Linked DNA regions of Oryzias latipes. The protein of the gene in region 1 purifies or fractionates together with the protein of each later gene. This does not show direct contact. Links are inferred from orthologs where the notes say so. Each region holds a gene or a part of one and is shown on either strand. Other genes may lie near its edges.

Region 1 (4,120 bases):
TTTTATTGCTTATTAATGCCATTTATATGCAATTTACAAACTGAAATCTGACAGATTTACTTTCTGAGTAATACCTTTTCAAATAATAATCACTGTGATTTAAAAATATGAAAATATTATTGACCAAATGTTACCATTAAATCATAATACTGCATTGAAAACTGTACTAAAACAAATGACAATTGTATACTGTGAGGTATCAATTGCGTTGAAAATGTACTGTTTATGGTAAAGAATCACTGAATATTTGGAAGAATTAATAAGTTATCTATTTTGTGAGATAAAGGAAGTTGAAGATCATTTTAAGAAGGTCCTTCATGTAAAACTAAATCCTAAACTTCAGTGTATAAAATGTTGTACGTATGTTTGAATATTAGAATTTCCAAATGCTGGCACTGAATGAATTTGATGACAGTTAAGAAAAATAATACAACACGAATGAAAATAAATTTTAATTTAAAATAGTAACCAAACATATTTTAGATTCTAAAGTATGTGTTCTTTTTATATAAAGATCATCATCGTCTAGTTATGTTGTTGTTTGATTGAAAAAAAAAAAAAAATAATTCTGACTTGACATTTAATACTCACCCAAATAATCATCCATCAGAGATCCGATGGCAAACTAGAAAACAAAGAGGAAACTTGTTTCAATGAATAGTTTTGCACAATTCTTTACATGGGTATTTCGACAAGCAGATGTTTTAGTGAGGTTGCTTTTATTGTAATCAGGCTTTTGACTAACTGTCAAACCAGATCCTGCTGTATTCAAACTAAGCTTGTTGTTCTTCTTTTAAATGGTTTGAAAAAACACCAGAAAGTCAAAGAAAGGAACATTACAAGAATCCATATGGACCTAAAGTCCCAATCCAATCATCTTTTGATCTATTGTTAAATTGTTCCCAGTGGTCTTTTCATTAGGATTGTGCTGCTTTTGGCCAAAAAAAACAACAAAAAACTGTGATGTTCTCTGGGACATAGTTTCTGCCGAATGGTAGGAACCTTCATCAGAGATTCACCTCTGAGTTGTCAGCGGGACTATTGGTGCAAAGTAATCCTGCGCTAATTTCGTATCAATCCTCCGTCTACACTCTTTCCCACTAGCTTACAGCCCCAAGATGACAATAGTGCGAGGAATTTTTGGAGCTATCCAGTCCTGGCAGCTCAGTCAAGGAAAATGAAGATGTTAATGGATCTGTGTCGCTACTGGTCAAAAGATCAAAAATAATATTTATGGAAAAAACTTACAATGTCATTCTTGTCCACTCGTGTTCCCACAATCTTCAGTCGAATCTCATCATCTTGCTGGATTACAATGTCCTAATAAACACAATAAGAAATGTTCATTAAAATCAAATGTATCACAAGGATTAAAAACTGAAAGAGAAAAGTAGCCTTCAATGTCTCTGCATGCTAAATCTACTATTGCATAAAACAGACAGAGTAATGACACATACCTCGTCAACTGTTTTATAGCAAGGTGGATTGGAGTTGGGATCAAATTCCATTTCTGAAGGGATCGACTGGGAGAATAAAAAAACAATAAAATACACAAACAATAATATAAAAACATACCTACATATTAGGTCAAGATATATATATAGTAAAGTGTTAAATGTTACATAAACTTACATGGCGAGAAATGAAGCAGGACATGGGACCAATTTCTGTGAACAAGCCAACCTGCAAAGAACCCAAATTTTGTTAAAGGAGGATAGAAAATGTATTTAAAGAGACTGGAATTCAGAAAAACAATTCATGAATCTACGTTTTCCATGTGAAAAACAAGCGTTCAACAAAAGGATCTATTCCATGGCAAACATCTTAGAAAGGCCTACAACAGGTACTTATGGGTCCTTACCTTGTTAACCTGCGTGACCACAGCATCCACCACTTCTCCTTTGAATGGGCGGAACACAATGGCCTTGTACTTGACTGGATAGAGTACAAAACCTCTACCTGGCTGGATCACACCTGCCCCAATGTTGTCAATAGTAGTGACAGCAATGACAAAACCATACCTGGGAGAAGGGACACAAGCAGGAAATACTGTAGGGATGCAGTTCTAAGCTTTTTTATACAAACCAGCATTACAGAAAAGTGAATGCAAATGCTTGTTATTTTCAGGACAGACTAGAAACTTACAAAGTAATCACACTTATGCACTTATTTATGATTAGCTGTTACTCACTTGCCAGTGCAGGTACCTTCCACTTCCGTGAAGAGTTTCTGTTTCACTGTGTTGAGCAGATTTGGACCAAAATACCGTGGATGTAGTAAGATTTCATGTTCCAAAGAAATCTGTAAACACATCATGATCATGGCGTGGTTATGATCGTGCTAACTTAAGAGGAAAAACTTTCCAAATAACATTGCTGTTACAAGCCGATCCAAACAATGGAAGATAAAACTTCGCTGATATATTTGGTAAAAGGGATTTGAAAAAAGTTGTGTGAAGCCGCCTCATTATCGCGCAAAAACCGAAGACGAAAACCTCCCTTCATATCTATTAATACTCTCATAAGGGGTGGAAAAGTTCAAGTACTTACATGATAAAACATATTGTTGTATATAGATGTAGATTCTTTCTTTGATTGTTTTGCACTGTTTTGTCCAAATTGTGTTTCCCTTATGCTAAAACAGCTAGCATGAAGGCATCGGTGTGTCAAAACGATCTCTTCCGGGTCACATGAGATAGTTGCCCTTTCATTGTTTTAAAAGAGAAGAAATGGCACCCTTGTATTGTTAATATATAAAACCCACAGAATGTAAAATGTATATCGTGAAAATCAAATGTGTGGTTATAACTTTGAATTTGTATTTTTAAGAAAGGTTACCTCAGACCATGTTCAGCACTCATGACTGCTGCCCCCTACTGGCGAGGAGGAGCCGACGCAACAGGGCGTACTAAAGAACAGGCGTCACTCAGCGGAGCTTATTCATTGGATGATTTCAACCGATTTAAGATCTGACAAACACAAAGCTAAATAGCGTCTGTGTGGCCACACGCGACGGGAAATCACCCCAAACAAGGCTCATGTTTGGACGGCATTCAACTGTAGCTTTTTCGAATTATAATATCTGTAGATAGTAATGTGTGAGATTTTTATTTTTTAAAGTAAATAATTTTAGGAAAGCCCTGGAGTATTTGAGGCGACTAAAAAGCGTAAACCAACCACAAAAAAGCGGTCTGCATTGATGTGGAGTGACATGGCAGGCAAACTCGTCTCCAAGTTGTTGTTTCGGTCGTCCTTACTAACTCAAGCTGTGAGTAGTTGAAAAGTCTTGTGTGGTGTTTGTTGAGTCGTGCTTGTTGCTGATTCCTTCGGTGTCCACTAAGGCTCCGCCCGCGTCAAGCCTCTTACTCCAGGGGAGATCTGGCGGATCAGCGGCGACCAGACAATCCTCCAGCGGCGGTCCACCGGAGAAAATAAGTCGTTACCCGATTCCCTACAGAAAAAACCTCCCTTATGACATAGTGGAGCTTATGGAAGAGGTTGAGGCAAAGGTAAACGCTCACAAATAACGAATTCGACGTTTAAATTAAGGTTTACACTGTGAAAATGTACATCTTTCTTTCTATGTTTTGCTTCTCACAGGGAGGTTTTTTGCCCAATGTCTTCAAAGTCCTGTCTCATAGACCAGCTGAGTTCAGAGCCTTCTTCGCCTACTACAATGAGTTAATGAATAAAGATACAGGTGGGTGTTGCCTTTAAATTACCCCTTATTTTGGAAGGACGTGAAGATGAATTCAGAGACTCTGACACACACACACACACACACACACACACACACGTTCAAACTGCAGTTCCTGCTCCGCTCCGTTCACTTGCAGACAGATCCATGTCCGTCTCTGTTTTCCTCATCCCAGCTGGTATTTGGCTCAAAACTGTACGGCTGGATAGCTCGCCGTTTTAGTTGCACCACTTATGTTAGGTTGGGCTTGTGAGGGGCTGTAGGCTAGTGTAAACAGATTGGTGACGGGAAGTGGGGGCGGGCTTACTCCGTGCCTAGAATCCCGCCAACAACCCAGATGAATTTCTCATGAGCTGCTGCCGATGTGCAGAACATATGTCCTAGAAAACGACACAGGTTTTTGATTTTGGCTAAAAATGACATA
Region 2 (3,500 bases), on another chromosome or scaffold:
TTTCACCCGTAAGTTAAATAATTGGAGGAAAATATAAAGCTGAAGTGAAAAAGTAATTGTCTGAAGCCTTCACGGCTTTACCGATTAAGAGACAAAACAATCATTATGAAAGAATTGCGACGTTAGCTATTCATTCTTTTTCTTTTTGCACTGTGGGACGGGACCCTCACCTTTTAGTGCTCTCTGCAGGGTCTCCAAACAGTTAAGCAGGAGCTGGTGACCTGCCGCATTCATCACACCGCGTTTCTCCTGAGGCACAACACGAGTAAGGAGAGGAAAAAAAAGAATAAAATGTTGAAATTAATGATTATGCTTTATACAACCAAATCGGGCTTGCTTTTAATTTGCGTAGCCAGCACTCTTGGTCTGACATTTAAATGTCACCAAGGGAGGTCAGTAAAGAAATAACTTCTTTAAGCTGTTTTGTGCTTGTTATTACATACTTAACTAAGAACACTAACAGGCTGTAAATGAACTTTTACTGCACTCTGAGCATGTGCAGTAATCTAGAAATATTTTTATAGTATGTATAATATTGTGGGAAAATTGGAAAATAATAGAATATCTGTCTTACCATAGCCTGACGCACAACTTTGCATGTTTCCTGCCATGGTCGGGAAGCATTGTGTTTAGCATGAAGTCTCTCTAACAGAGCAACCGTTCGACTCTGCTTTTCTGCCTCTAAAAGACAGAAACAGAATACAGTTAAGCCTATAATGACTGACCTGTTTTTCCTTTACACATTGGATTTATTTTTTTCCTAAAAAAAAAAACAGATTAAAAAATACAAAACTTTGATTATATATCTTATAAAGGACAACATAACCTGATTACTTTCATAAAAAGGTTGAGTTGTATTTTTTTAGGCAGTTAATAGTCAGGTAGTATCACTATATACCTTCTTTAAACAAAGGCTTAAACCCTTAGTTATAACAAATATTTTATTGCTGTAGAATGCAACTAAAAAATAGTCAAAAGTAATTTCCCAATTTATCACCTCTAAAAAATGTCAGTATATTTACATACAAAGAAGAGCATCTACTGAAATCTTAGGTCAGCAGTTTGTTTTGTTTAGGCTCAGCTAAAAGTAATGACATTTTAAAATGACACGTTGCTTTCTAAGGGAGAAATATTTAAAGCGTCTGTTCTTTATGTAACCAAAGAAACTATGAGCATTTGTGAAAAGCTTTAATAATATAAACCTACGGTGGCCGACAGAGCTCACACTACATACAAAAAAGACAACGCAACGACATTACCCGAAGCACAACGGCGTTCCCCGAAGCACAACGGCATTACCCGAAGCACAACGGCATTACCCGAAGCACAACGGCATTACCCGAAGCACAACGGCATTCCCCGAAGCACAACGGCATTACCCGAAGCACAACGGCATTACCCGAAGCACAACGGCATTCCCCGAAGCACAACGGCATTACCCGAAGCACAACGGCATTAACCACAGCGCGACGGCATTAGCCGCAGCATATCAATATTAACCTCCTCAGCACAACGGAAATGACGACTATTTTTCTTCCTACTGGACATAAAGTCAGTTTCAACATATTCGGCGCTCCTGAGAGAGGTACGTGATTTTTTCTACTACTAACTATGAGGATCATAATGGTGTTTTCGTTTTCTTACTAGATAACCTAATTTCTTACAAATATACTCTTCTTCTTCTTTCTCTTTCGGCTTTTCCCATCAGGGGTCGCCACAGCGAATCATCCTTTTCCACCTCACTCTATCATGGACATCTTCTACCCTAACATTAGCCAACTTCATGTCCTCTGTTAAGACATCCATGTATCTCCTCTTTGGCCGTCCTCTTGCCCTCCTGCCAGGCAGCTCCATCTCCAACATCCTTCTACCAATATATCCACTATCCCTCCTCTGAACATGTCCAAACCATCTCAGTCTGGCTTCTCTGACTTTGTCGCTAACACAGGCAACATGAGCCGTCCCTCTGATGTACTCGTTCCTTATCCTGTCTAACCTGGTCACTCCTAAGGAGAACCTCAACATCTTCATCTCCGCTACCTCCATCTCAGCCTCTTGTCTCTGTCTCACTGCTACCGTCTCTAACCCATAGAGCAGAGCTGGTCTCACCACTGTCTTGTACACCTTTCCTTTGAGTCTTGCTGGCACTCTTCTGTCACACAACACTCCTGACACTTTCCTCCAACCGCTCCAACCTGCCTGCACTCGCCTCTTCACCTCTTTTCCACAATCCCCATCACACTGAACTGTTGACCCCAAGTACTTAAACTCCTGCACCTTCTTCACCTCAGCCCCCTGTAACCTAACACTTCTACCTTGATCCCTCTCGTTCAGACACATGTATTCTGTCTTACTACGACTGACCTTCATACCTCTTCTTTCCAGAGCAAACCTCCACCTCTCTAGCTGTTCCTCCACCTGCTCTCTACTCTCACTGCAAATTACAATGTCATCCGCAAACATCATTGTCCAGGGAGATTCCTGTCTTACCTCGTCTGTCAGCCTGTCCATCAGCATAGCAAACAAAAAAGGACTCAAAGCTGATCCTTGGTGTAGTCCCACCTCCACCTTGAACTCCTCTGTCTGACCTACAGCACATCTCACCACCGTCATACTTCTCTCATACATGTCCTGAACTACTCTAACATATTTCTCTGCCACTCCAGACGACCTCATACAGTACCACAGCTCCTCCCTCGGCACCCTGTCATACGCCTTCTCTAAATCTACGAACACACAATGCAGCTCCTTCTGACCTTCTCTGTACTTTTCCATCAACATTCTCAAAGCAAAAATGGCATCAGTGGTGCTCTTACGGGGCATGAAACCATACTGCTGCTCACAAATCTCCACCTTCTTCCTAAGCCTGGCTTCCACTACTCTTTCCCACAGCTTCATTGTGTGGCTCATCAACTTTATTCCTCTATAGTTGCTGCAGTTCTGCGTGTCACCCTTGTTCTTAAAGATTGGGACCAGAACGCTTCTCCTCCATTCCTCAGGCATCTTCTCACTCTCTAAAATCCTATTGAACAACCTTGTTAGAAATTCCACTGCTGTCTCTCCTAGGCACTTCCATACCTCCACAGGTACGTCATCAGGACCAACGGCCTTTCCGCTCTTCATCCTTTTCAGAGCCTTCCTAACCTCATCCTTTCCAATCTCTGCTACTTCCTGCTCCACAACAACCACATCTTCCTCCCTTCTTTCCCTGTCATTTTCCTCGTTCATCAGCTCCTCAAAATACTCCTTCCATCTTTTCTGTACACTCTCTTGGGTTGTTAGCACCTTTCCATCTCTGTCCTTAATCACCCTTATCTGTTGCACGTCCTTCCCATCTCTGTCTCTCTGTCTGGCCAGCCTGTACAAGTCCTTCTCTCCTTCCTTTGTGTCTAACCTGTCATATAGCTCATCGTAAGCTTTCTGTTTGGCCTTTGCCACCTCTCTCTTCACTTTACGCTGCGCTTCCTTGTACTCCTGTCTACCTTCCTCAGTCCTTTCTA
Region 3 (4,007 bases), on another chromosome or scaffold:
ACATGTGTGCTGAACCGTGGCTAGAGATCCGTAGGAATCATCCGTGATCTGTTGGACCCCTATCTACAGCTAACCACAGGTCTGCTGTCCCACCTTGCCGATCATGGTAGTTAGATCTCCTCCGTTGAGCAGAGGGTTCTGGGCGTCTCCCACTCTGGATGGATCTTTCTGAGCTTTCTCGTTGGAGAAGGTTCTCCACTCTGAACCCACATCAATGACCCGGTCACCTAAGGACAGAAGGCGTGAAGAACCAGAACCGTGATGTTAGAAAGGCTGAGTGGAAACTTTGATTACACGCTGAATTACTTGTAATTGATTTGAGCAACAATCTCGTTTTTCTGTTTAAACCGTACTTTGACGGTTCTGGTGGATATTTGTTGATGTGCTTTTGGTTCTTCTTTGACGTTTCTGAGGGATAAATTGTGCTACACTGATCTGTGCACACACTGCAGACGTACTGCTTTGTACTGTTGTGTGTAAATGATGCAGATTCATCATCAACATTAAAATAAGACAATCAGATAAAGAAAATGAAAACTGTGGTCGTTCCAGATCAAAGTCCTGGAGCTTTGATCTTTCTTTGGAGGAAAAATGGCTGAAAATAGATCCGTGATGAGAATAAAATGGACTTCCTTTACAGGTGACATAATTACCATAATTTCCGGACTATAGAGCGCACCTGATTATAAGCCACACCCATTACATTTTTAAAGGATAAACCATTTTGTACATACATAAGCCGCACCTGTCTAAGCCGCCCGCATGTGCCCACATTGAACCATGTGTTGTAGAATGGATGTGTACGTGCTGAAACCGCTCGCCGGCGTGTGTGAGAAAGAGGGGGGAGCTCGTGCAGCGGGATAGGAAGAGGGAGCATTCTCATTCACTCACGCTCCTTCCCCCTACACACCCAGTGTGCTGACACAAACACATACTCATTCTACAACACCTATGTAGTTAGTTCATTAGGTAGATTTAGTTGTTACTGTTATTTGTTAAAGAATAATGCGTTGTAATTATTACTTATACCGGTATTTATTTGGAAACCGCGACACCGTGACTTCTCCTGCTTCTTCATCACCGCGGTGATCAAAAATCCCACACCGTCACAGCTCTATTCCAAACAGTGCCTGTGACACGGCAGTAACACGGCAGCAATACGGTAGTAACAGCACTAACAGGGCTGGTTAAAAAAAACATCGTGGTAGAAGTCACTGAGAGCAGCAGTAACTTATTGGCGCTCGCCTCTGCGCAGCACGAACTTCCTGTGCACTGAAACCATGGAAGTCTTCCTCCTCAGTGTCGGATTGGAAAAGCGTCAGATATTCTTCACCACACACGCTCTGTGTCTCTCCTTCGTTGTCGCTGTCAGTGTCACTCTCATCCTGAGGTAAATTCTCTCCTGAGTCTGCACTGTCCTCTCTGTCACGCAGCAGACCGGCTTTTCCAAACCCGTTGGTGATGGTGGATTTTTTCACACTGCTGTTAACCATTGCTTTTAACTTGAAAGCTGCCTCATATGCATTTCTTCTTGCATTTTCCATGATGAGGGTCTGTTCGTGCTATTCATTCAGAAAGCGGGAATTTACATTAAACTTGTGTCTTCCTCGACACATATACCTTATCCCCCGTCTCACTCTTTCCTTTTCTGCTCGAGCGCCCCTAGCAGCCGTTAGAAAAAATGCATAAATCAGCCGCATCATTGAATAAACCGCAGGGTTGAAAGCGTGTGACAAAAGTGGCGGTTTATAATCCGGAAATTACGGTAGCAGGGAAAAAAAAGCTTTTAGGTTTGTTCAAAGCGCATGTGAAGGTCTGACTGTGGAGGCCAGGTCACACAGAACTCTTTACAGCTTCAGCATCAAGACAAACCTCTCCAGCTATGGACCCATTTTACCTCCAACAAATGTAGGCCAAGTACAGGTTTATCATTGAAGTACTCACCTACAACAAGCCCACACTCGGGGCAAATCATGTCCCCAGCGCGGTAGTCCTCCACCAGGATGGCATCAGGATGGTTGGGACATGTCACTCTGGGTAAACTGAGAGCATCTCCGCTGCACAAGCAAAACACAAATGATAACAAAAATGTTAAAAAGGAGCACAAAAACAACAAATAAATGACGAACAAAGAAAATCCCTTAAAGTCGATGTTCCGCTACATTCTCCAAGGAAGAAGCCAGACACCTTGATAGGATTAACAAATATTTATTAAGTCTACAAACAGCCTATGTTTCCAGTATTTATCAGTCGCCTGGTTCTGTAGTTGCTTGTGTCATCTACCCACCAAAACAAAACGCGTTGAATTATGGGAAATACCCATTTCACGATCGCTTCAACTTTCCTAGCATAAAGAAATATTAACGAGTTTAAGTCCCGGTAAATGTGCGGACGTGCGCGTTTCCACGGAGTTTCAGGCTGATCCAGAACTCCTTCAGGCCAACGTTCAGATGTCAGAGAAACGACAAAACCGGGAGTTCTAACGGGCAGCCTCTTCCGTGAAGCTGCCCGCGAGCTAGCTGGCTGTCACGGACGGAGTACAAAAGACTGAACATTCCCGAGAAGAAAAATGGAGCCCGACACTTTCTACCGCCAGAGTCCCACGGTCAATCACAAGACGCGGTGGTTTTTTACCACGAGACACTTTGAGTCACATTAACAAAGAAAACCGGGCTTTGAACGGTTAGCAGCCATTGCAACTCACCGACTTGTCGAAGCCATCTTCCTCCGCTCTCTTCTCCCGGACGGATGCAGCACTTGTACTTATAGACTATTCTGATCACGTGACCAACTACGGGAAGTCAAGAAGGCCAAATAAGTTTAAAAATAAATAAATAAATAAAGTCAAAAATATTGTGTCACCTTTGGTGAAAAAAATAAACCTGTCCCTTTCTTTTACATTTCAGACCCAAAGCGAATAAATCATCAGACTACATTGCCTGCAATGTTGTTGCCGTTTACACATTTGACAGGTCTACTAGAAAGTTGAAGTTGGGTGATCTTCTTAGTCTTCATTCGTGTGTTCATGATGAATACACACGTTGTGTGTTGTTGTGTTTCAGCTTTTCAGGTTTATGTTGACCCCACAGAGACCTTCAGACACCTGATCGACCATGAGGGGCAGGCTTTGGCCCCTCGCGGGCCAAAGGGTTGATGTGTAAATGAGCTTAGTTAAGGTCGGGGTAAACTAGTCATGGTTAAATTTGGGTTGGGGAACTGTTCAAACCTGAGTGTGTGCTTCAGTGTCTTTTTTTCTCTTTACATTGTTTTTTTTCTTAAGCTTCTTTCATTTATTTTTAAGCTAGCATTACTAAAACATTTAACCAATAAAAACAAGTTAAAGACCCACTTTAATGGAAATCACGTTTTTGGTGTTTTTAATATGTTCTAATGGCATTTTTCTCATGATATGATATGATGACATATATAGAAAATTAATCTTAAAACTGCATTTCTGCCCCAAAAAATGTTTTTTTTAATGCATTACTGTTCACAACACATAGAACAAGTATGTATGACAAGAACAATAGTCATAAAAACGGGACTGCCAGGGGATGGCATATATTACAATAGAAATATTGTAAAACACATCACAATACATTGAATATGTTCAAAGACAGAGAATTTTCATAAATACGTATTCCCTTTTTTGTTTGTGCTATTAGAAATAGTACATAAATACGATTCTAATTCTTTAATAAATACAGGGGGGAAAAGTTGTGAAATTTTGATTTGTTGATGTCTAACTTACTTTATATTATGATTGGATTAATTTTCAATTTTATGTTTGATTTTATGTTCTTTTTATGTAGGCCAAATATGATTCATTCAAATTTCATCTGAAATTGTGAGTCAAATTTGTGATTTATAAAACAAGTACATTCTTTCCAAAACTTTTTTGTAATATTACAGTTCCAAAATAGGTGGCTGATTGTTTCTGGGTGTTCTTAACAAAGAGTACAGTTAGGATTTGAAAAAGCTTGTAGCAGTGACGTAGAACTTGCAAC
Region 4 (3,500 bases), on another chromosome or scaffold:
ACATCCATGTGGTTCCTCTGATGGAAAAGAGCAGCAGTTCATGTTTTCTCTTGTGGTTTAGGTTAAGTCTGAGTTCTGTAAACTGTTGCTGGCCCCCATTAGGTACAGAGAAGGTCCGACAGGGGCAGGGCTACAAGCACCTTCATGTGGTCAACCCCGACTGGCTGTGGAGCTGTCTGGAGCGCTGGGAGAGGGTGGATGAGCAGCTGTACCCTCTGAAGGACGACTACTCAAAGACGCCCAGGTATGCAAGTCCTTCGCTGATCACCCTTTAACTCCTGACTGTTCAAAGATGCATGAACGTTTTCGTCTCCCCCCACTGTCCCTGAAGGAGCAACAGCCCAGCAGCGTTTGCTGAAAGTCAGGGCTCCACACAGAAGCCGGCCTTCCAACCCACCCCCATCCAGCCCAGACCCCCACCGCCAGCCCCAGAGTCCCGGACGTATGACCCCGTAACAGGAAAGCTCATCCGCAGAGGCCCCAACGTTCAGCGCCCTCCATCCTACTTGCACCCATCAAGTTCTGAACCCCGAGATCAGCCCAGCCTCAGGTACTGACGCACAACAGCAGCTGCTGACTCAGCATCTGAACGAACCAGTTCAAAGGAAAAGAGAAGAACCATAGAAGTCTCTGCTAAACGTTGAGGACTCCTTCTTTGGTTTGTCCATGTGTCCGTTTCAAAGAAACATGTCAGAGCCTGAGGAGGCTAGGTGGTGCCCTGTGACACGATGGAGGACCAAACCCTACATTTCAACACTTTCCTGACGCCTTAGTTACTCACACCTGTGCAGGTGCTGCAGGTTTTTGGGCTGTCCGGCCCACGGAGGGTCATAGAGAGGAGCGGCTGCATGTTAAAGGGAGCGCAGGTGTCTTTTAGTACCCTTTAGGCTACCTACAGGGACATCATGAATACGCAACTGCCCATAGGATGTCCACACAAACTACACTCTGATAGTCTAACCTGCTCATTTCTAACAATCAGGATGCATGTAAGGATCACACACTTATCTCTTGAAGAGTCCTAATGCAGGATTGGGGGAGGTAAAAAATGAAAAATGCCAATGACATGCCTGCATCTCACCTACCTCACCCCTCCTCACCCTCACGGGTTGTTTAAGTGTTCACTAGAACCTGTAGCTTTCAGCATGCCTGTAGAAAATAATGTTTGCGATTATTTTAGCTCAATGAGCGATCTACGCCTTTGACATTTTGTGCAAGTCACCCGCGTGTGCCGTACAAGTCAGACCCCCCCCCCACAAAGAGCCTGTATCCACCTGTAAGGGCAGCTGTTCTTCTTAGGCCCAACAAGCGGCTGTGAAAGGAAATATTTCCTCTGCAATGTGGAGCTTATGAAGCCAGACCAGAGGGGCTCATTGCACCGGCAGGTCGGTGTTCCACAGACATGACTATAGTGTGAATGGCGGTGGACCCCACAATGACATTCAACTATATTTAAAGATCCTCCTCCCTCTCTGAATGCTGTGAAGACTGAAGAAGGAGAAGTTTGTGGGGAGAAGAGCTATTTTGCGTGGGGTCTCCTCTTGGGATAACATCCTGAACTGCTCCGTACAGACAGGGCAGTCTCATCACATTACGATGGCGGACGGATGTAATCAATCAGAGTTGGCTTTCAGTCAATCGGAAGCCCTTCATGGAGCTTTTGCTCCTTCATTATTATCTTCAGTTTAATGAAGCCCCAGTTCAAAACCAAATGCATCAAGCTGAGCTAAATCTGGACACATATTAGCCTTCTTAGAAAAAGGCTCTGTTCTGCTCAGTATATTGATGAGAGCTTCTACCTTCTTAGCTGGAGTAGATGTCGACCATGCGAGCCTCCTTTCCATCCTCGGTTTCTCTTTAAACAGAGGTTTGTGGATACTGTTGCCCCCGGGGGGCATGAGCAGGAGCTCCAGAGGAGCGCTGAGGGACAACAGCGATGGTTTTCCCGTGGCTGCTCTGCAGCTCTCTGACTCATCACTTCAGCTCCGAAAACCAAGCATGAGACTAAAACTCCCCTTCAAACGAAAAGGTCTGTGATGATGTGCTGTAATTAAAAATCTCAAGTGGAAAATCGGCCCATTCTATTCCCGGATCGGAGGAGCAGAGGAGTTTTCCGGGAGTCGCGTCCAACGATCAAAGAAGATCTGTTCAATTAAGCAGAGCTTGCTGATATGTCTGCTGGGCCCTTGAGCCTGAGCATTGTGTGTAGCCCCCCCCCCCCCCCCCCCCCCCCACACACACACACGTTGTTTTTCAAAGGAATTCTTCCCAGCATTCCTGCAGGGATTGAGTGTTTCTGTTTACCTCCCCAACCAACCTGCTCGTCCTGACTGGGGTTTCTGCTTCTACCTCAGGGCGGCTGCACCCACTCCGCTAAAGGAGGCAGCGGGATGCGTTCAGGACGGCGAGCAGGCGGGGCCATCGCGGCGCAGACGGCAGCCCAGCATGTCAGAAACCATGCCCCTGTACACGCTCTGCAAGGAAGACCTGGAGAGCATGGACAGAGAGGTAAGACGGCCAGAGGCTGGAAGGTCATGATCTGAACACGGTGGAGGCTTTGACAGCTGTAAACACGCACTAAAGGACGGTAAGACACGGCCGAGCGTCCACTCCTCCAGAGTCCAGTGAACTCTCTCAGCACGGTTCCATCCACAGCCTCATCACCTGTAAATAATGACAGGAAGTCTGATTAACCTTTCAAATGATATCACACCTCAGTAACGATTGACACCCAGAGTGTCTCCACTTTCTGAGCAGCATTTGAATTTCTCTAGAGGGAAAACTAAACTGCTGAAGCCATTTCCTCTCCTCCTCCTTCATGTTTTCCACGTGTTCAGGTGACTTCACCTGGAGGCAGATTTTAAACACATTTAATTACAGAAACACAACTTCCACTGATAAATAAATACTCTCCAAAATATGGATATTATTCAAGTATTTAGATACATCCAAGCTGCCTGTCTAACCTGCCAAAGGGATCTTTTTATGTTTAAGGTATAAATTTAACTTTTTACAGCTTAATTTTCTCTGTTTGTGGTGTAAATGTATCTTTTTCCTTCAAATTTTGAATGTCTGAGGTGTAAATTGATCTTTTATTTGTATGTTTTTGCGTGTTTGTGGTGTGAATCTGTCATTTTCATCTATATTTTTGCTTGTTTGTGGTGTTAGTTGTTCTTTTTTCTTTCTATGTTTTTGGAAAAATGACAAAATCTGGTTTAAAGTACACTACTCATCTTTAACTGTGCGAAAAATCCTATTAGTTGCCAAAATGTGACCATATTTTTTCATTTTAGTTTCGCTTTAGTCTTCTTTCGTGTTTGCTGAAGGATTTTTAGTGCGTTCTTAAAAAAATCATCCTTCAAAGAAAGGAAACTCGTGTGGAGTCAAGCTCTCAGAGGAATCTTTCCTAGAAATATTCGGACCTCAGAGGCGGTTTTCCCAAATCCAGCTGTGCTCAAAGTTCAAGGAGAGTGAAGTCTTTCAGCAAAGAACAGGAGCTT
Region 5 (3,978 bases), on another chromosome or scaffold:
GCTCCACATAGTGAGGTCCAAAGCATCTTTGAGCCAAAGGGCCAACGGTTTCCTCAGCTGGTCCTCCAGGATCAGTCCTCCTCTGAGGAAAGCTGTGCTTCTTCATCGTGCACCTCTCTGTAGGCGCCCATGGAGCCGCCGTCAGGGTTGTAGCCCCCCACCGACATTTTTAGTCCCTCAGACAGTTTCTGGGCTGCCAGCTTGGCCTGCAACTCCTACAATCATACACAAGATTTGAAGAAAAAAAACAATAGGAAAAAGTGCATAAAGAGAGCAATAAACACTGAAATATGACTAATAATAATAAGATGATTTGACTCTTGCATTTACAGGTATTGGTCTGCATGTAAAGTCAGTGTCTGAATACTGCCCTCTGGAGTTCTTAAGGGAAAATGACAACTATGAAAAACCAAAATGAAACAAACATCAAATGATGTAGTCAGTGATTCATTAAAAACACATTTCACTAAGATTTTTATTTTACTTTGAACCAATTTATTCACTTTTATTTTCAGTTTTTTATTCAAACCTGCATAACATTTGTCAATGTGTGCTTTTGTGCAATGGCAGATAATAACATTTTGTTTTGAGACCATTTTAACAAAATAATAAAAAAGAATTTATGAAAATGCCCCTGTGGGCAAATAATGACACCTATATTACCATCAGTCCTGCACATATATGAAAACCTCCACAGTAGCAACTGTGCATTGTTAGAAAATCTTCTGAGTGGTCCACAACAAGCCCAAAATGATAGACATCAGTGATGAAGCCCTCTCAACACTTCACAGCCATTTTAAATGGCGAGTCATATTGATGTGTGTGAGAGGTTTCAGTCACACTAACCTGCTGCTTTCTGGTGTGTTCTACAAGTAAGGCAGCGGACTCTTCAAGGGTCAGGAGTTGGGCAGGATTGTGATGAAGAGGAGGGAGTTTGGCCGCAGTGACATCATCCAGGTGTTTCTTGTCCTGCTCCCTCCTGGCCTGAGCGGACAGCGGCGATGCATCTCCAGAGGGCTCACCTGGTGACGAGGATCCTGACGTTGAAACGTCACTTCTGTTGAGCAGCCTGAAAAGAGGGTTAAAACATTTTGATTTTCAAGGAATCCAGATGTTTATCCCTAATAAAACAGACATAAATGCAAATAATATATCAAAGTTTTGAAAGAAATAAAGTAACTTACTGATTTGGTTTGAATTTTTGCCTGATGGCATGTAAAGAGGACTCTCCTCTATTCAGGACAGCAATATAGTGAGGCTTCTTTGGTGTTTGCTTTTGGAGAAAGTAATTGGTTGTTGCTTTGCTGTTAAAGGCTTCTTTGGACTTTCCAGTATTGGACTCGGATACCTGGACCCTGTCCAGGGCTTCCACTAGCTCACTTTCTTTTATCTCTTCAGATTTAACAGAGGGTTCGGCAGCAGATGTGTCCATTTGTTTTTCTAAAGTGGCATCTTTCTTCGTTGGTGCTAAATCAGGTGTGCTTTCCGTTCCTCGTGAGTCCTCTCCTTCCTCATTTTGGTATGAAGGTGCTGATGAGGTGACTCCACGTTGTTGCGAACTGAAAGCTTGCTGGTACTTGGATTGTAAATCGCTCCTTGTAGCAGACAGTAAATCTCGCCTCCTCTCCTCTTCGATGCGCTGTTCAATGGCGAGACGCACGTTGTCTGCAAAATCTTGAATTTTTTTCCCTTTGTCTGGAAGAGTCTGTAATAACCTCCTAAAAAACAACAAACAATCATCTTGTAAAGAACTCATCGAGCAGTTATGTCACATGGCATTTATCACATCTCTGCCTCTTTTTCTAAAACAAACAACAACTTAATCTGTGATTTATACACAACACAATAAGCATCAGTTGATATGGTTTATGATACATTCCTAGCTATTTTGATGCAACCTCGAGGCCCACTGCAATGAAAATTCGGTTTTTAACGTGTTCTTGTGGCATTTTTCTCAGGATAGAGGACATATACATGAAAAAAATCTTGTTGTGATGTAGAAGCTACAGTCGGCAGGCCACAAGCCCCCTCCTCCTCCACGCCATGATGCATCCACTTGTAGGAGACTGGATCCAGATGATCAGAGGGGGACTCTAACATAATCCTCTTGCTATGATTACATTCACTGTTGAAAAGGGACATTTTTCGAGCAAAACATTTGTCTTTGGGAGTAACTTTTTGTTATTAAAAGTTAAAAGATGACTAAGAATAAACAATATAAACGAACATGTAGCATCTGGAATATAAAACATTCGGTTAAAGCCCAAAGTGGGCATTTTAAAATGTGCAGGTTTTACTTTTAATTTCTTAACAGTTGGTATAACGTTAACATGATGGAACCGAATGTGTTGTAACTATTTTTAACTGCTAATATACTATGGTCATTAAACAAATAAAAAAAAACTACAGGAAAATGTCTCTTTTGTCGTCTAATAAAAGGCCAGACTCACTTATTGGAGAGGATTTTTTCCTGTCGCAGCAGCAGCTCCTGCAGTTCTTCTCTGCTCTGGTTCCTCAGGTCTCCAACCTTCCCCTGACGCTGATCGGTCCACGACATTACTGATGGCTACCCGCTTCCAACTGCAGCCATTCCCACACAACGAACTGTAGATTAAAATTTGACTTTAAAACTATACGACAAAAACACTAGAAACAATTTACTAATAAAACAATCCGCTCTACGTGAAACCTTCTTTGAGTTCCACTCATGACAACATTTCAAAGTGGGACCTTCTTCTTCTTCTGCGGAAATTCAACGTCTGCTGTGACGCTCTTTCTCCCTCTACTGTACAGATCACTGTACTGCAGCTCGTTGGCCGTTGGAATAACACATGTAATTTGCTGCCCTCTGCTGGCCAAAGGTGGTCACGACTACCAAAAACGATCATGAGGAGAATTTCCCAATACAGTAAATTCAATTTCAGTTGTACAAAAAAACTAAATTTCCAACCGATATTATCGCAAGGTGAAAAATCTAGGAGAGCAAGAAACAATGAATCAAGTAATTACAATCTCCAGTTTTGTGGGAAAATGACAAAAGATTCAATCACATATCATTTTAAGTGTTTTAGAGGAAATAGTAACCATATGTCTTACTTAACCATTTTATTGAAGTTATCTTTTACTCAGATTACTGTGACAAATACCATGACTCGTCATTGATTGCATGAAGCACGTCACAGCACCAGTGGTGCCCACAAAATAATTTATTTATTTTTTTCTCCAACTACATTATTTAAAATGGTTTTATAATCCAATTTAATCCATAATATTTCATTCGGGTCAAATTGGCTAACTCTAGTTTTTTTTTTTCAATAAGTGACCAACAGATTACATCAAAGAGTATGTGTCGCAATCCTTTATGAGGACGCAAACAGACAATTGTGAAGTGAAAATGTAACAATTTAAGTGGAACAAATGAGAGCGACCGTTTACACTTAGTGGTTTGGATTAGAGGACAGGAAGACATGTAGACAACACAGGGGCAAACACTGCAACCACATGACAAAGACATTCCAGTTAGGAACTGTAAATGTATTAAATGCATTCTTAAAAAAAAACAAAGCAGAAATAAGAAAAGTATAAAGTGAGGCCCTTGTGCTATCTTATGGGGTCCAAATGACCCCACCCTAGCATTGACGTGTTATCCCTACCAGGACAAAGGTAGATAAAGGCGAAGAGGATTTCATGTTATCCTTGGACACCAGTGAAGATTACAAATCATTTAAGAAAAAACGTTCAGCGCACTGTCTTGTGGGGTCCAGATGACCCCACTCCCAATGTCAAAGTGCCTATGATAGCACAAGGGTTAAGGTCATCCAGGTCAAAGAGAACTTTTTCCTTTATCAGAGGAAGGCTTTAGTTGCATTGAAGATAAAGATGGTGTCTGCCTCCAGAATTGAACTGGGGAGTTGGTGCCACAAAAGATGAGCCTGAAAGCTGAAGGCTCTGTTTCCCTCAAAAAAAAAAAGACAATTA
Region 6 (4,221 bases), on another chromosome or scaffold:
GAGGTTTTCAGACCTCATTACTTTTTAACGCTACACAAACGATTATTATAGTCATTTATAACTAGGATTTAAAAAAAGAGAGGATTATTATCGCTCGTAAACAAATACAGAGCCTTATGCTAACAACAAACCTTAAGGTAGTTCCTGAAGTGAAACTATTTCATATCACGTAAATCGAAAGCACTGACGAAAATTAACATGAACGTGTTTCAGACAGCAAAAAAAAATACAACAAAAAAAGAAAACATTTGTTTTAAAAAATAGAAAAACAAAGACTTGCCATAGTTAGTAGTAGTAGTAGTACCTGCTAAGAAGTCCACCGTCACGCGGTAATGTCTGTACACAAACTTGGCCTGTTAACTCCATTCACTTCCTCGAAACATACTATTAATTTAAGCGCCTGATGAAGGACGCAATCAACAAACTTGGTGAGCAGGAAGGCTTGCATACGTTTCCAAATTTCACCTGATCATCGCATGTTGATGCAGTCACTTTCTACTTCTTACTCAATTTTGGTGGTTTCGTTTGTTGACAGCAAAGATCCCTGGGGCTCTACCGCTCCCTAACGGCCAGTTTGTGAACAACTTATTGTCATGATCTTTGCTTTAAGTTTCATGGTTATCGTGGTCATATCATAGGCAGTTTAAACGACTTGTTCAAATAAATACATATGGTTTTAATAAAGCAATTTTAAAGTTAAAGAGCAAAATTTTTCATTTCCTGGGGAAACTTAAAAAAATGCCACAACTGACACTGCCACAGAATTTGCGACTCAATGGTAATTGACACACAAAAAGAAAACAATTGTTGCACAGTATTTTCCTCACTATATTGGTTCAATGCTCATCATCAGTACATTCGTATGGAAGATTTCTGTAGTATATTTTAAAATGAAAGTCAATACCAGAAATGCTTTTTCAATTTTTAAAATGAAGCTGCATTTGTAATAATTTATAATAAAAAAAAAAACAATCCGACCAAACCACTTTTTCTTTTTCTTCTTCTTCAACACAGCTCATTCTGTCACTTAATTAAAATGAGAAAGAAAATGGTATTCGACATTTTTTACTAAATGTGTAGCATAATGTAATTAGAAATATCTTCTTTGATCATCAAAGTTTATTAACAGAAATGCTTTTTCATTTTGAAAATGTAACTGCATCAAGTGAATTAAAAAATAAAATTACAAACGAATGAGCCAATCTGCTTTTCTTTTTCTTCTTCAACACCGCTTATTCTGTGGCATAATTAAAGCGAAAATGCAAAGATGGGATTGCATTTTTGTTTTCACATCCACCGTGCGAAAGGTGTAATAATTCATCACCAGTTCATTCCATTGTGGCTCTTTTTCAGACCACTGTCACCCTGACTTCCATTTCCTCTTTTGATCAGTAGGTGGCAGTAATGAGCCTGACCGTAAATCATCTACCGGAGAAGAAGAAGTAGCGTCATCACACCGATGCGTATGGCATTACAAGCTAGCGTCTGTGGTTAAAGATACTTAAGATCTTTATCACACCGCATTTTTCAGAGAAAATGCCTCGCTATGCCCAGTTGGTGATGGGCCCGGCTGGTAGCGGAAAGGTATGTTTTCAAAAATGCCACTGGATGGTCTACAGCCTCTTGTCTGTTGTTGCTAACAGTACATGAGGTGGTGTCAGTCACCCAGCGTGTTTTTATTTTGTTATTGTGTTTTGCCATTAATTGTATCTTTTTAAAATATTATTATTAATATTTCAGAGTACGTACTGCTCCACCATGACCCAGCATGCAGAGGCTTTGAACCGCTCAGTTCAGGTGGTCAACCTGGATCCAGCAGCAGAACACTTTAATTACCCTGTTATGGCAGGTTAGTATGCTCAAAATGAACCGTTTGTGTCTCCAAATATGAAAACAAAAAAATTAAAAAACGATCATGTTGTCATGGTAATCCATCTATGACAGCAGGATGTCCTTTCTGACGTTGGTAAATCCTTGTTAAAGTCTTGAGATCTGTTGAACCTAATTTACTTTTGTTTAAAAAAAAAGTATTTTATTGAATCTTTAAGTTTATATAATAATAATAACAATATTAATAATAATAATAGTGGATTGGATCTTTCTGCGCTTTTCCAGACGCTTAAAGTGCTTATTATGTGTCCATTATTCATTCACTCCTAAGTCATATTATGGATACACCTCAGTATTGAGAGATAGAATGTTACAAATTAAAGACTTCATTTGTAAAGTGAAGTAGAAAATAAGTATTTGGTCAATATCAAAAGTTCATCTCAATTCTTTTGATAGAGGTCAGACATTTTCATTGGGTCTTCTCTTTTGGTCCATTTCTCCATGTAGATCTCCTCAAGAGCTTTGACGTTACTGAGCATCACAGACTTTCATCTCCCTCCACAGATTCTCTATTGGATTGAGGTCCACAGTCTAGCTAGACCACTCCAGAGCCTTAAAATGGTTCATATTTTGCCACTTTTGTGTTGCCTAGGCCAGTGTTTTTCAACATTTTTTGAGCCACGGCACACTTTAACCTTGACAAAGACACAGCGGCACACCAGCATCCAAAAAAAAACTCAGTCTGTATTGATCGACAGCCCCCCCCCCCCGCAATCTCACGTGCATTTTTGTGATAATTGGGGCAGAAAAAACAGGAAGTTGCAGCTGTTTTTTCTAAAAGATGAAATAAAAGTTAAGTTAGAAAATTCAAAAACTGTTTCATGTGTGTTTGTTGTGGTTTCAAGACATTTAACAAGGACGACTCATTGTACGCTAAGACGCTGTCCCTTTAACCCAGTGCATCGTGGGAGATGTAGTGTGAAAACTGCCGCAAAAGGGCAGAAGCTTCAATGTTTTGTTCACTTGTTCCACGGTCTGACACCGGATTCTGTGGAAAGCTACACCGCTAAAGACGACCTTTGGCTGGTATTTTTGTTAGAACCGAGAGACTTTATGAGCTAAATCGGGACAAGGAAGTGAAGACTTTAACCACTTCTGATTGGTCAGACTGATGACATGTGATTAAACCTTCAAGAATGATTGGCGGAGACAGTTAAAGGGGCGGGACTTTTCCTAAAACAGCTAAAGCTGCAGCCAAATCGCGGTACCGTCATTCTTATCAAAATGTCTTTAATAGAATCAAATAAACACAAAGAAAAAATAATTTTGTGATCTTTTATATTCCTAACTACTCAGTGTTTTATCAGGGCCTGTTTGGATGAACACAGAGCTGATTTCCTGGAGATGGGAAATGTTTTTAGATCAGTTAATGAGGGCAATTTCCCACGGCACACTGGACCATCTCCCACGGCACACTAGTGTGCCGCGGCACACTGGTTGAAAAACACTGCTCTAGGCAATGTGTTTGAGATTTTTGTCATGCTGGAAGATCCAGGCACATTTCATCCTCAGTACTCCCACTGAAAGAAGAAGTTTTCTTTTGCCCAAAATCTCTCCATTCATCCTTTTCGTAACAAGGATCAGTTGTAATGTCCAGTGAGCAGAAACACAGGCCCAATTCATGATGTTTCCACCCCCATGCTTCACAGTAGGTAATGTGTTCCTGGGATGTGAATTGGCGATCTTTCGCCGCAAAAAACTGCAAGTGGCGTTGATGCCAAAGAGTTCCATTTTTGTGTAGTTCTGGGCGGTTTCCTCATCGTTCTCAAGATCATATAGCAAACAGGTGACGTTAACACAGGAAACATGGAAGAATTTCTTAAAGAAGTAACAGGTCTGTGAGGGACAGACATCCTGGTCGTTTGTAGGAGATAAATACTTCTGTGGTACTTTTTGCACCACTGAATAAATAAATGATTTCAAAATCCTAAAATACAATTTCTTGGATTCTTTTTTTTTTTATTGTCTCTCTCACGGTTGAAGTGTATCTAGCTATGATGAACTTTAGAGACCTCTACCATTTTTAAGTAGGACAGCTTGCAGAATCGGTGGCTGACAAATACTTTTATCGCCCGTCGTTGAAATTAGAAGCAAAAGTAGATGATTAGTGAAAAGTGAGATCCTGCGAAGGTTGTTTTTTTAAGTCCGTTTCCAGGAATTAATGCCTTGTGTTTTTTTTTTTTGTGCTTTCAGACATCCGGGAGCTCATCCAGGTGGACGATGTCATGGAGGATGACTCTCTCAGGTTCGGCCCCAACGGAGGCCTGGTGTTCTGCATGGAGTACTTTGCTAACAACTTCGACTGGCTGGAGGAAAGCTTAGGTCACGTGG
Region 7 (3,500 bases), on another chromosome or scaffold:
CAGAAAGAGAGACAAGAAGGAGAAACCACATTCAAGCAGCAGAGAGCGGCCCGCAGCGCAGAGCGCCAAAAGGAGCAGGGAGAGGAGGGACGGCAACCGAGACCGCCACCACGACCGGGAGCGTCGCTGCGATGGCCGCCCTGTGGTTCCGCCCTCCATCCAGGACCTCAACGGGGCCGACCTCTTTGCCATCAAACGAACCATCACGGTCACCACCACCACCACCACGGTGCCCGGCTCCCCCAGACACGCCCCCCCATCCCCCTGCCGCATCGCAGAGGTTGCCGATCCCCACAAGAGGAAGAAGAGAAAGTGGCGCTCGTCTGTGGATGTGGAGGATCACCGAAGGAGTCGCAGCTGCTCGCCGCCACTCTCGCCGCCAAGATACCATGGCTACGGCTCAGACCGCTACTCCGACAAACTAGAGATCGACGTTTTGTCTTTGGACGGGGAAGCTCTAGACTCGGACTACCCGTCTTTAGAGGACACGCCTCCTGCTGCTCTGCCTCCAGAACCTCATATTCCCAGCCCCAAACCCAAGTCGGCCCCCAAGACTGGACAGAACCGCTCCAAAAAGAAGTCCCGCATCCTGAAGAAGTCTGAATCCTCCTCCAGTAGAACCACCGGCAAATGTCTGTCCTCGCTGACGGTCACTTCGGGCTCCGCCTCCGCCTCGCCAGCCCTCCCCTCAGTGAAGCGACCCAGAAAACTCGGGAAGGAAAAGGGGCGGGACAACAGCAGGAAGGACCCGAGTCGGCCGGGGAAATCCAAGAAGGAGACAGGCGGCAGTCGGAAGGGCAAGCTTCAGTCCAAGGTGTCCGTGCTGGTCCGGGAGGGGGTGAGCAGCACCACGGGGGCCGGAGTTGGCTCCGGGAAGCTGAGCATGGACCTTCTTGGTCCTGGAGGGGCAGGAGGCGGAGCTGGAGGCTCAGTGGTGGGAGGATCCATTGCTGTGGTCTTCTGCAGGGACAATGAAAGCAGATCGCCCTTCCTCAAGCCCTGCTCCGAGCCGCTGTCGCTGGGGGGCCGCAGTAAGGACCTGACCGGCTTGGCCAAGCGAAGCGGTTTGGCTGGACCACCATCGTCCTTAACCGGCCCCGCGGGGCTTAAACCCAAAAAGACCAAACCCAGCTCCATTACATCCACCTCCTCCTCAGCGTCCTCCCCCTCATCCTCTCTGGCAACCAAGCGCCGCCGCCGCCTCGCCAAAAAGGTAAAAGAGAAAAGCGGAGCCATTGGCTCGACTGCAGAGGACGGTAGCCAATCAAAACCTCCGCCTGAAGGCTGGGGCGGAGCCTCCTTTGATGGTCAGTCTGTCGCTAAAGAGAGCGGGAGTAAGACGGTCAGCCCTCACACTGGCCATACCGGGCCGGCGCCCTCCTCCTCCTCCTCCACGTCCTCATCCACCAGCGTGCTCCCGCCCTCCTCCTCCCCCCCACACAGTCCTCCTTCATCTGCCGCTCCTCTGAGGGACACCCGGGAGTCGTCGCCCGACTCTCAGACCGTGGACAGTAGCTGCAAGACCCCAGAACCGTCCTTCTTGGGGGAGGACGGTCCAGCCCGGAGCAGCCCCACACCGGCCCCTGCCAGTCCCTCCAGCCTGTCCACGCCGCAGGGCGCCGGCATCACCAATGTCTTGACCACACCCACCGCAAAGCACCAACCTCCAGATGACACCCCGAAGTCTGTGGCGTCTCCTCCTTCCTCGTCTTCGTCAGCAGGCGGGGGCCTCAACTCTCTCTCTCTGCCCCTGTCTTCGTCTGATCCCTCCTCCTCGTCTTCGGTGTCGTCCTCCTCTGCCAGCAAACCTCCTCCTCCTCCACCCCCGCCTCCCCTGACGGCATCCAGCCTCCCCTGGAGCCTGCAGACCGGGGTGGACTGCACGACGGGGGGGGTCCTGGCATGTAAGTCCTCTGGTAACCAGCAGCTCTGCCTTCATAGAAACATGTGGGGGGGCTGCATAAATACCCCCTGTAGGGGTAGGTTTAAAAACTGAGACTGAATTTCACTTAGAAGCATTGATTGAAGTATTGTTTATTCCTGTATTTCAGGAAAAAATACTTTTAAATAGAAGAATTTATCATTTAATGATGAAAATTCCAAGTTTTTCTTTTTTTATCAGTGTAAAGAGTTTGGGACCGTTCTTCCAAATGTACTCGGTCCTGATCCGATGACTCGTGACTCGGTCGTCCAGGCAGATTTAGCTGATGTTATCTCACATTACCCAGAAAGCTCAGCACGGATGGACCGCCGTGAAAAGCAGTGACGTTTAAAGAAATCCCCGTCAGAGTGGTTGAAGGCAGGAGTCGCCTGTTTGGAAGAACATCAAAGCTGAAAAACTCTGAGGTTAGGTCTGAAAAGGAACCGGGGAGGATCAGGCAGCTGACACGGTCATGATGGAGGCGGAGCTTAGCGTCTGCGGGAAAGCCTGGCCTCTATTTAAAAAAAACAAAAAAGATCTCAGCTGCAGGTTGTTGTGCTGATGTTTCATCTGCTCCCCCCTCAGTGACCGCCCTCCTCTTCAAAATGGAAGAAGCCAACCTGGCCAGCAGAGCAAAGGCTCAGGAGTTCATCCAGGCCACCAGCCAGGTGAGTTGGGAGGCCCACCTGCCTCTTCTCCTCTTCCTCCTCTCTGAGGCAGAGCGCAAACTAACAAACATGTCCCCCTGCAGATCCTCTCACAGGCCAATCAGAGCCAGGCACAGCAGCTTGCTCCTCCCCCCTCTGCACAAATCCCTCCCCCTCCTGGTCTAAGCCCCACCCAGTTCATTCTCCACAGCTCTCGTCCTTTGGCTGGATGCACCAAGACGCCACCCCCTCATCTCCACGCCTCCATAACAGCCGGGTGTGCGCAGACCCCCCCCTCTATCATGCCTGGAGGGCTGTTGGGGGTGACGGGGGGCTCCAGTGATGCAGCATGGGAAAATGAGTCCAAAGACCCTGACAAGGTGAGACGAGTCGTAGCAGAAGCTACATTTCTTTCTTTCTCTCTTTAAGGTTTCAAACTGATATTAGTGGGAGAAGTGCACGCCGCCTACACGTTCACAGCTGCAACATTTGCTGGACCTTGTGGAAACAACAATCCACCCTTTTCATTGGATCTCAAAGCATTTGATCACCACAAACCTAATAGATACAACCGCAGCACAGTAGTGTGTTGGTGAGCGACGGCGTCCCCGCCGCTTCCACAAGCTCACCCCGTTATTCAGCCATGGAATGATTACGGGTCTCAGTCCACAAAGTGAGTCTGCAGGAGCGTCAGCCACCCCCGTCTTCACTGCCCCCTTCCTGGCTGAGCAACGGCTACCCCCTCCCCCTGGCTCGCAATGACACTCGAGGAGTTAGGACACGATGGATCAAAATTTCCTAGGAAGAGTTTTAGACTTTTTAAATTCAAGATGGCGACCTTTTCCTGAGGTCAAAGATCAACAAAACTCCGGTTGTGGTTATACGCTTCGTCCAAATTCCTTCCCTACTCTCTACAAAGTGCACTATGATGC

The links.
Region 2: the proteins of polr2g (region 1) and med1 purify together in Homo sapiens (affinity purification with mass spectrometry; 3 studies listed by BioGRID and IntAct, with this or other methods). This does not show direct contact. The link is inferred for Oryzias latipes from reciprocal best matches to the Homo sapiens genes POLR2G and MED1.
Region 3: the proteins of polr2g (region 1) and gtf2b purify together in Homo sapiens (affinity purification with mass spectrometry; 3 studies listed by BioGRID and IntAct, with this or other methods). This does not show direct contact. The link is inferred for Oryzias latipes from reciprocal best matches to the Homo sapiens genes POLR2G and GTF2B.
Region 4: the proteins of polr2g (region 1) and ctdp1 purify together in Homo sapiens (affinity purification with mass spectrometry; 4 studies listed by BioGRID and IntAct, counting the BioPlex papers as one, with this or other methods). This does not show direct contact. The link is inferred for Oryzias latipes from reciprocal best matches to the Homo sapiens genes POLR2G and CTDP1.
Region 5: the proteins of polr2g (region 1) and polr2m purify together in Homo sapiens (affinity purification with mass spectrometry; 4 studies listed by BioGRID and IntAct, counting the BioPlex papers as one, with this or other methods). This does not show direct contact. The link is inferred for Oryzias latipes from reciprocal best matches to the Homo sapiens genes POLR2G and POLR2M.
Region 6: the proteins of polr2g (region 1) and gpn3 purify together in Homo sapiens (affinity purification with mass spectrometry; 3 studies listed by BioGRID and IntAct, counting the BioPlex papers as one, with this or other methods). This does not show direct contact. The link is inferred for Oryzias latipes from reciprocal best matches to the Homo sapiens genes POLR2G and GPN3.
Region 7: the proteins of polr2g (region 1) and scaf1 purify together in Homo sapiens (affinity purification with mass spectrometry; 3 studies listed by BioGRID and IntAct, counting the BioPlex papers as one, with this or other methods). This does not show direct contact. The link is inferred for Oryzias latipes from reciprocal best matches to the Homo sapiens genes POLR2G and SCAF1.

The regions. Positions count from the first base shown.
Region 1 is NC_019868.2:13,737,590-13,741,709, forward strand, and holds the start of polr2g (DNA-directed RNA polymerase II subunit RPB7), read right to left. Parts: upstream 2,801-4,120; 5' UTR 2,562-2,800; coding exon 2,550-2,561; intron 2,302-2,549; coding exon 2,192-2,301; intron 2,022-2,191; coding exon 1,862-2,021; intron 1,684-1,861; coding exon 1,633-1,683; intron 1,524-1,632; coding exon 1,458-1,523; intron 1,321-1,457; coding exon 1,249-1,320; intron 626-1,248; coding exon 592-625; intron 1-591. Other genes in the region: uncharacterized protein LOC101155778, read left to right, coding at 3,199-3,267, 3,341-3,508, 3,600-3,699. UniProt on the Homo sapiens protein: Core component of RNA polymerase II (Pol II), a DNA-dependent RNA polymerase which synthesizes mRNA precursors and many functional non-coding RNAs using the four ribonucleoside triphosphates as substrates.
Region 2 is NC_019877.2:9,657,436-9,660,935, forward strand, and holds part of med1 (mediator of RNA polymerase II transcription subunit 1), read right to left. Parts: intron 1,586-3,500; exon of another isoform or gene 1,417-1,585; intron 682-1,416; coding exon 575-681; intron 250-574; coding exon 171-249; intron 1-170. UniProt on the Homo sapiens protein: Component of the Mediator complex, a coactivator involved in the regulated transcription of nearly all RNA polymerase II-dependent genes.
Region 3 is NC_019875.2:5,825,962-5,829,968, forward strand, and holds the start of gtf2b (transcription initiation factor IIB), read right to left. Parts: upstream 2,801-4,007; 5' UTR 2,722-2,800; coding exon 2,705-2,721; intron 2,058-2,704; coding exon 1,945-2,057; intron 228-1,944; coding exon 94-227; intron 1-93. UniProt on the Homo sapiens protein: General transcription factor that plays a role in transcription initiation by RNA polymerase II (Pol II). Involved in the pre-initiation complex (PIC) formation and Pol II recruitment at promoter DNA.
Region 4 is NC_019869.2:25,078,931-25,082,430, forward strand, and holds part of ctdp1 (RNA polymerase II subunit A C-terminal domain phosphatase), read left to right. Parts: intron 1-102; coding exon 103-244; intron 245-331; coding exon 332-550; intron 551-2,354; coding exon 2,355-2,508; intron 2,509-3,500. UniProt on the Homo sapiens protein: Processively dephosphorylates 'Ser-2' and 'Ser-5' of the heptad repeats YSPTSPS in the C-terminal domain of the largest RNA polymerase II subunit. This promotes the activity of RNA polymerase II.
Region 5 is NC_019861.2:21,379,036-21,383,013, forward strand, and holds the start of polr2m (protein GRINL1A), read right to left. Parts: upstream 2,801-3,978; 5' UTR 2,690-2,800; intron 2,605-2,689; 5' UTR 2,558-2,604; coding exon 2,451-2,557; intron 1,719-2,450; coding exon 1,185-1,718; intron 1,070-1,184; coding exon 847-1,069; intron 216-846; coding exon 72-215; 3' UTR 1-71.
Region 6 is NC_019870.2:16,801,177-16,805,397, reverse strand, and holds the start of gpn3 (GPN-loop GTPase 3), read left to right. Parts: upstream 1-1,421; 5' UTR 1,422-1,536; coding exon 1,537-1,584; intron 1,585-1,740; coding exon 1,741-1,849; intron 1,850-4,083; coding exon 4,084-4,221. UniProt on the Homo sapiens protein: Small GTPase required for proper localization of RNA polymerase II (RNAPII). May act at an RNAP assembly step prior to nuclear import.
Region 7 is NC_019866.2:24,770,106-24,773,605, forward strand, and holds part of scaf1 (splicing factor, arginine/serine-rich 19), read left to right. Parts: coding exon 1-1,904; intron 1,905-2,506; coding exon 2,507-2,589; intron 2,590-2,672; coding exon 2,673-2,948; intron 2,949-3,500.